Arabidopsis thaliana: one gene and its partner. The protein of the gene in region 2 purifies or fractionates together with the protein of the main gene of each other region. This does not show direct contact. Each region holds a gene or a part of one and is shown on either strand. Other genes may lie near its edges.

What was found.
Region 1: the proteins of SK6 (region 2) and AT1G73230 fractionate together in Arabidopsis thaliana (co-fractionation; one large-scale study listed by BioGRID). This does not show direct contact.

Annotation. Positions count from the first base shown.
Region 1 is NC_003070.9:27,539,283-27,544,273, forward strand, and holds AT1G73230 (Nascent polypeptide-associated complex NAC), read right to left. Parts: upstream 2,671-4,991; 5' UTR 2,538-2,670; intron 2,083-2,537; coding exon 2,015-2,082; intron 1,929-2,014; coding exon 1,780-1,928; intron 1,681-1,779; coding exon 1,624-1,680; intron 1,540-1,623; coding exon 1,501-1,539; intron 1,409-1,500; coding exon 1,224-1,408; 3' UTR 946-1,223; downstream 1-945. Other genes in the region: OCT1 (organic cation/carnitine transporter1), read left to right, coding at 1-827; AT1G73240 (nucleoporin protein Ndc1-Nup protein), read right to left, coding at 3,115-3,579, 3,676-4,053, 4,585-4,809, 4,895-4,991.
Region 2 is NC_003074.8:19,667,936-19,671,149, forward strand, and holds SK6 (SKP1-like 6), read left to right. Parts: upstream 1-2,230; coding exon 2,231-2,488; downstream 2,489-3,214. Other genes in the region: AT3G53050 (D-galactoside/L-rhamnose binding SUEL lectin protein), read left to right, coding at 1,149-1,499, 1,576-1,653. UniProt on the Arabidopsis thaliana protein: Involved in ubiquitination and subsequent proteasomal degradation of target proteins. Together with CUL1, RBX1 and a F-box protein, it forms a SCF E3 ubiquitin ligase complex. The functional specificity of this complex depends on the type of F-box protein.

The DNA of each region.
Region 1 (4,991 bases), on a different chromosome or scaffold from region 2:
ACGCGGTTTGTCTCCTGCCCTTTGCTTATGAGTCTCCTCGATGGCTTCTTGTCAAGGGACGTAATAAAGAAGCCATGGTGGTCTTGAAGAAACTCGCGAGGCTCAACGGGAAACAACTTCCGGCGGATCTAAGCCTAGTCGATCCAATTCCAGAGAGAGATGATCAAACTTCATCATCGGAGAAGTTTTGGAAAACAAAATGGGCAGTGAAAAGAATCATAATGGTTATGATGGCTGGATTTGGCAGTGGCTTTGTTTATTATGGAATTCAACTAAATGCTGAAAATCTCAACTTCAATCTTTACTTAACTGTTGCTGTTAACGCTCTGATGGAGTTTCCAGCGGTTTTCATCGGAAGCTTCCTCCTCGGGGTCATGAACCGCCGTCCACTATTCTCGAATTCATCATACCTCGCCGGATTCGCGTGTCTGCTCTGCGCGGTTCTCTCGATCCACCGCGTGATCCGTGCGATATCTGTGGCAAAATGGTTACAACTTGCAGTTGAGGCGGTTGGGTTCATGGCATCCTCGACAGCGTATGACGTCCTATATGTCTACTGCGTAGAGCTGTTCCCAACAAACGTTAGGAACACTGCTGTCTCACTTTTGCGTCAAGCGTTTATGCTAGGAGCGTCTGCAGCACCACTGCTAGTTGCGTTAGGAAGGGAAAGCGCAATGATGTCGTTCATCGTGTTTGGTGTTGCATCAGTGCTGAGCGGCATCGTGAGTCTCTGGCTACGAGAAACTCGAAACGCTCCGCTTTACGAAACACTAGCACAACAGGGGAAAGCGGAAGAGATCGAAAACGAAACAATCATGATTACTTGATTGCATTCAGAGTGTTGTATTTCTATGGAATGTTTACATCCAATAATTGGAAATATGTAAAATCTTTGGAATTTCCATTTAAATGTACGAAACTGTTGATTGTTCATCTCAAGACATCGTTGACTCAAAACAAAGGACTGTGTTGCAAGAAGTGTATGAAGCGACAGGACATAGTAGTACTCATTTGAACAGGTGGTAAACAAAAAGCGATCTAACCTTAATAAAAGGAAAATTGCTGTTCGGACCAAAAAGCATCAAGTGATAATAAAACCAAGTCTTTCTGTTCGCAAGCATTAGAGAAAACAAGAATCTGACAGTGCTCAGAAGAGGTCGAGCGACAAACATTTTTATGATGGGTTTTGCAGGTGAGCTCTTCTCCTTCTTCTTCCTCCTCCTCTAAGAAGCAGCAGCTTTGGGAGCCTCTTCAGTAGCAGGGGTCTCGAAAGTCTCTCCCACTACAAGATCTGGGACATCATCATCATCGTCCTCTTCTTGGATTGTTGCTGGGACATCACCTGCACCTGGAGCTTGTTTCTGGAATTGCTCTGCTAGCTTCTTCAGGTTGTCCAAGTTATCTGGTCCTGCGATTATCAAAGCAAGAAAACAAAATGTTAACTTAAGGGACCACTGGTTTGGGAAAGGACATCAGAGTGTAACACTTAATGCTGCATACCAAGTTGGCTGATAATCTGAGGAAGAATGTCTTGCAATTCTGCAGGATAATTCACATTCCGAGATTAGACTATGCATAAACCGAGAATAGTATTGGATCAACAATGAGGATACAAACACTTACTTTTCGTCTGTGGTGTACCACTCACAACCCATGTGTTAGCAGCAATTGAAGCTTGAACTGTGATAGCAACATTAAAACAGAGACACAACAACCATTAATACAATAAATTTTATACGAAACCTGAGATTTATAAAGCCATAAAATTTGATGTTTTACCTTTAGGGTTAATGAACTGAATGACTACATCATCCTTAAAAATGTTAACTTCTTCAATGGCGGGAATGGAATTGACTCCAACTCTCTTAAGAGTGCTCTGGAGCCTCTTGTCATCGGTTGTAGTGGTCTTGTGAACAGCCTTCTTCTTTCTGAAATGAGAGTCAAAATGTTTAGAGAATATAACATGAAAAATGGCAAAAACACAAATTCACAGAAAAGACATAAATGAGTATACCTTCTTACTGTCCCCTTTCCGCCAGTGCGGACAGTGTTAGCCATCTTCATCAACTTTTCCCTATTCATCTGTTTTTCAAAACAAACACACAAAGCTAAACCCATTTAGCCCAAAATGTATCTTATAAATTAAGCATATACAATAACTAATACTGTTATTAATTAGCCAATGACAAAAACAGTAATACTGAGCAATAGTCACAACCCACAAATTGATTACACTAGGATTATGAGAACAGTGCAGCGAGAAGAACAAAGCTCGTATTGTTACAATGAGCTTAACCTAAAGTTTCAATTTTTTCAATCGATTAGGTCACCATTACACAAACATTACTTTTAACTAACTAACAAGTTATTGGAAAACAAGATAACCAATATCAAAAACAGTAATCAATGAAAAAAAACATATGAATCGAGGAAGAACAAAAACAAAAAAATGATCTTGACCCTTGTGCTAAATCAGAAGGAAACAATCGAATATCTTGGAAATGAAATGAGTGAACGATTTGCTGAAGTGGGCTTACCTTGTTAATCGATTTCTAGGGTTCTTCGTTGGTCGAAGGGTATAAGAAGAAGATAAGGGAAGAGAGAACAGAGGAGAGAGAGATCCAAGCGGCGCTGGAGGGTTTTGCCCTTTAAGTAAATGCGATGTGTAATGTAGCCAATCTAAGCTTTAACCACTATACAATTATTATATTAATCATCATCCAACGGTCACGATCTCTCCTTCGATATTACTATTAGCCACGCCATGGGCCCTAATAAATCTCTGGCCCATTTCAGATTCTAATTTTGGTTTCCTTCGTAAATTGCGTAAGAGTTAGTTACTGTTAAGCATATAGAGAGTCTTCTGCAAAATTTATGTAATCAAGATTTAAGATGCAAAACTTACCATTAAAGTTTGATTCTTATATAATTTTCTAGTTTACCAAAAACAAGATTAATCCCAAATTTCTGCAAAATCGAGGGATTTCATTTTCCAATACAAGGCTTTTTGATCATGTAACAAAATACTCTAGTTCCTTTTTCTATCCAGCTCTTGAATCATGATGACACTTGTTACCACATTTAATCGAGGAATTGTACCTCTTTAATCTTCCATCAAGCTTGGAACTCGAGGAAGAGCTTAAGCTTCTGTAGGAGCATGTCGTTTGTTCCAAAAGGTGGTTTCTTGCTTCCAATCCAATCTCTACCAAGAAGTCCGGCTCTGTCGCTGTTGAGCATTTCATCGCGGAATGTGGATAGAATCTGGTATACTGATATCCTCAAAACATCTGTCGCTGCATATGCGTAGGCGTACATTGCGCCAATACTCCTTTTGATGGGTTTAACGTCTTTTCTGACCATACTCGAGGTCGCCCATTTGATACTAGCAGGTCCCATCAGTTGTTGAGGTGATTGAAGATTAGTCTTCTTCCCCATAAACGTTTCGATAGCTAGCAAAAGCGATAGAAGTGTTGAGACAACATCAGCGTTTCCACCAGACAGTTGAGCTACTCCGAGCCTGTCTTCCTTGTGAGAGATTGAAGTCAGGGATGCAGATGTTTGAGCACACCATGCATATAGCTGCAAATATCGGATACAGAGCAAACAGATTTTGGTTACAGCTACATGAAGAAATTATCACATAGAAAAGGGATCAAAATTTGAATTTCGTTTTACCTGGAAAGACTTAAGTGATTCGCCGAATTTTGGATCAATAAAGGACTCGGTTGGTGGCTGGAGTGGTGTCTGATAACCTTTTTCAGTAAAGGTGTGGTCTAGCCCAGAAGCTAACTTGGAGGCAAGCTCTTCCAAAGGCCTCAAGCATAGAGTAATTACTCTTTTGTACGTCTCGGTGGACTCCTCAAAGAAGGCAGCACGACGCCATGTGTCAACATTATTCTGAGACACCATGTAGAGATCAAGGTATGCAAGAGACTGCTCGAGGGAACCTGGAGCGCTCCCTTCTAAAGCAGCAAGAAGAGGCTCGCTTGGATTCGTTTCTGCTGCAGCAGATCCTTTTGGAGGAGCAAAGCTGAACCGTTTTGTGTGCAGAACCTGGATATGAAAACAACAATTATAACTAACTTCTTTTGTATCTAGAACCTGGAAAAGTAGCTGAAGTTTATGGATGTAACAAGTAATACACAGAGCAAACTCACCGATGAATACTTAAAGTTGTTTAGGTAGGAATAGAGTTAAGTTATTCAAGAAAAGTAAACATATCGATACAAATTTATATGAGTCTTCTTTGAACTGATCCACATACACAGAAGACAGACAGACCTTGGTATAGGCTTCCAAAACATAAATAGTAAAGACAGAAATGACTAACAAAACAGGAAAACAATTCTACACATACTATCAATGCAACATTTGATTGCAAACACAGCTAACTTGTCGTCTTTTCAAATTTTTCTCAGTTAAGTTTTGCATCACTCAAGTAATACTGAGTGCTAACCTCAACTATGTTCACTAATAAGCTACAGGGATCTTAAAATACTAAACACTATACCACCAATCTAAACGGCTATACGACCAACCAATTACATCTATCAATAGCAAATCAACAGAGAAAACTTAACTAACCTTATGTATATGGTGAGTGACTTCCCAAGAGAGAATCAAACAGAAACTGCCGGCATAAGATAAGACCTGCTCACCCAAAAATTTCGATACAGACACAAGCCCACCTGACCAGTCTAGCAGAAACAATAGCATTATCGTCGACAACACATAAAGCACACCAGATAGCTTCAAAGCTTGTGTTAGAGCCGAAGGAAGACCAATCTTGAAGCTGAAGAACGGTGGACGCTGTTTTGAAAAAACACAAGTAAGAATCAGCAAAGATACAAAATTGATGAAACATTCCATAAATCAAGAAGCAAAGACACAAAACCTGAATGATAGGAAACTCCAAAACCCATCGTTGCTTAGTAACAAAGAGGACTGCGTAAAGCAATCCAGTCACTAATCCCCTAAACCCTATTCTTCCA
Region 2 (3,214 bases):
CTGGCTGGACTTCCTTATAATTTTGCCAAAACCGTTATGCCCATATTTTGTACCCCAAGAATTCTGAATTTTCCAGTAGTTGACACCTTCCAGAGTTGTGTCGAAACCAGTCATTAAGACTACATGGCCACATGTGCTTGTGTTTTTTCGATTTGTTTGACCATGATAGATTTTGTCATATTCAAAATTTACAAGATATGAAATCAGTTGTAATATGTTTAAAAATGAATTATACCAACTACAAATACCACTTACATCTTTACATTCCTTTAAGCTTTCATAAGTATCTATCACAACAAGTAGAGGGCCGTCGTTGACAAGTTAGATAAACTCTTCTTCTCTCACTTGTTTGTCTCTCTTATATACCAAATCCTTGATTTTGAATGCAGGTATATCCTATAAGAATTCGTTTATAAGTATGATTAGTTAAAAATAAATGAAATTTGTAAGAAGACAAGATTTAAAAATGACACTTACATAGTTTTCGGAACTTTTGAGACAGATTTGTTTGAGTTTTCATGAGTATGGACAAGTTTTTCTAGAACAAGAACTTGTTTTGTCAAAAACTTTTTGATACTTGCCATAGTTACAGATTTTTCATACATGTTCCTAATATTGTTTATCAAATGTTGCGGTGATAGTTCAACAACTAGACCTATAAGAGCAAGTCATGCTTCGATGTGGCACCAACCTAGAGTTTATAAACCCCTAAGCAAAATGAAAAAATGTAATTTATAGGAATGAAATAAATTTTCAAATAATAACTTATATCTAAAATATAAAAAGTTATGCAAAATAATTTATAAAATAGTTAGTCACAAAAATTGTACAAAACTAAAAAAGTCTTATGTGATTAACTATAACCTATAACCTATTATTTAGGAAACAATTTAAAAATCAATGATATTTACTTATTTTTGCTACTGAAAATGCAAACCTGTTATTAAGTAATCGTAGAAAAGTCAAAAGGATTGTTATTCATTAACTCCCCCAAAAGCCAAGAAGAAGGAGAGTGAGAAATGGAGAGAAAACTTCACGACCACATTCACATTATAACTCAAATGTATATAAAAATTATCCATAAATAGCCTAGTCCTCATTCTCATATTCCTTTTGATTATTAGTGAGAACACAACACCAACAACAAAATGGGAGACTCACATTGCCGTTGTCTTCATGGCTTTATTTTGCTTGTTGTTCTGTTTCTTTCCTTCGTGTTTAGTTTCGCTTCAAAGATAGACGTTTCTTTTCACGGAGACGAGAAACGTAGTCTCTCTAGCTCCATTAATTCCTCTCTTAGTGAGTCAGCGGAATACACAATGTGCGCGACTCATAAAGAGGCTAAGGATGGTAAACCAATCGCATTGGATTTCGATTGCGAACAAGGATATGTTATTTCAAAGATCACTTACGCCGACTATGGCCAATCCACTGGTAGTTGTGGGAAATTTAAACGCGGTAATTGCGGTGCAAGCAATACCTTAAATATCGTCAACAAGGTATACAAAATCAATCAAAAATACAAATTTTCTTTCAAATAGTGTTCTTATTAATTATTATCGTTTGTTTGTGCAGAAATGTCTTAGGAAAGAGAAGTGTAAGTTGTTTGTTCCAGACAAGATTTTTGGTCCGAGCCACTGCAAGGGAGCTTAAGTCTCGTTATTGACGCTACTTGTAGAAAACTTAGTTTTTTTCTTGTTTTCCAAGTTAAAGTTTCTTTATGTAATCGACCTAGTCAAGCTTTTGTTTCCTACTTTACACGTTTGTTACATTTTTTCTCTTTGTTGCAAACCCCAAATGTGTATGTGCCATACAATATCAATCATCTTTGCCATATTTTATCGAACTGTTTATAGGTTACTCAATATTTTTCTCCTCAAAAAATGTGAAGACTGACACGTACCAAATCTTTTAAGTGAGAATCACAACAAATCACATAAAACACCAACCAATTCCATTCTTTTTCCTCTTTTGACACACTTTAATCCAAATCTGATCAAGTTTTGGGGCCACATTGCAAAATTGGGGCCCGTTGTAAGTTTTGGTCCCAATCTGAAAATGCATATCCCACCGACTCTGACAATTAGGGCTTATAAATAAACGAGCACATAAGTTCATAACTTGGTTACTTCATTATTCTTCCATCTTTTTCATCAAATTGCTAAGAGAGTAAAATCGCCCCATAACGAAGTAACCATGTCGAAGAAGATAATCGTGTTGACAAGCTCCGATGATGATAAAGGGTATGGCAGAAGACGATTGTGCCGATAATGGAATCCCTCTTCCAAACGTGACAAGCAAGATACTCTTATTGGTGATCGAGTATTGCAAGAAGCACGTCGTTGAGAGCAAAGAAGAAGATCTAAAGAAGTGGGACGCTGAATTCATGAAGAAGATGGAACAATCGATTCTCTTTGATGTTATGATGGCTGCGAATTATCTCAATATCCAAAGCCTTCTTGATCTCACATTTTCAAACTGTCGCTGATTTGCTCTCAGGCAAAACTCCAGGCGAGATTCGCTCATACTTCAATATCGAGAACGATTTCACAGCAGAGGGAGAAGCTGAGATCCGCAAGGTGAATCAATGGGCTTTTGAATGAAAGTGGATCTTCAAAGTTCTTTCTTCTTTAGTGTTTTCGGTTTTCTTGATGCGATGTTAGATGATTACTTCGTCTATTTCTTGTTTGTTCTGTTGTTTCTTTTCTTTTGGTTTCTTGATGCATAAGTAAACCAATGTTTGTTGTATCTTTACCCTAGAGACGATCTATTGTTGGATTTTAGTATATGCTAACCAAATCTGAAGATTGATGTTTTTGTTTTTGAAGCAATTCTTGAATATATGTGAAGTCAAATCCTTCCTTTTTTTTTTCTTATGGTAATTGAAGTTTACTAATCCGAAACTAATTATATGACACTTGAATTTTGATATTCTATACTTGTATCATAATTAATAATCAAGCAATAAATGCAAATTGTCAAGATTGAACATTCTAAAATAGATAGTGTGAAAATTTGTTGTTCTCTTTGCGAAATAAAAACAGTTGTTTTAATATTCTCGTAGGAATATGATAAACCTAATTATAGAAAACTTCGCAGCCACATCCGCACACAAATTCGCATCTCTAAGAAACTTTAATTACTAATATTATCATATATATCAATATCAAAACATTACATATTTATACTTAACTACACGTACTAAACCATCTTA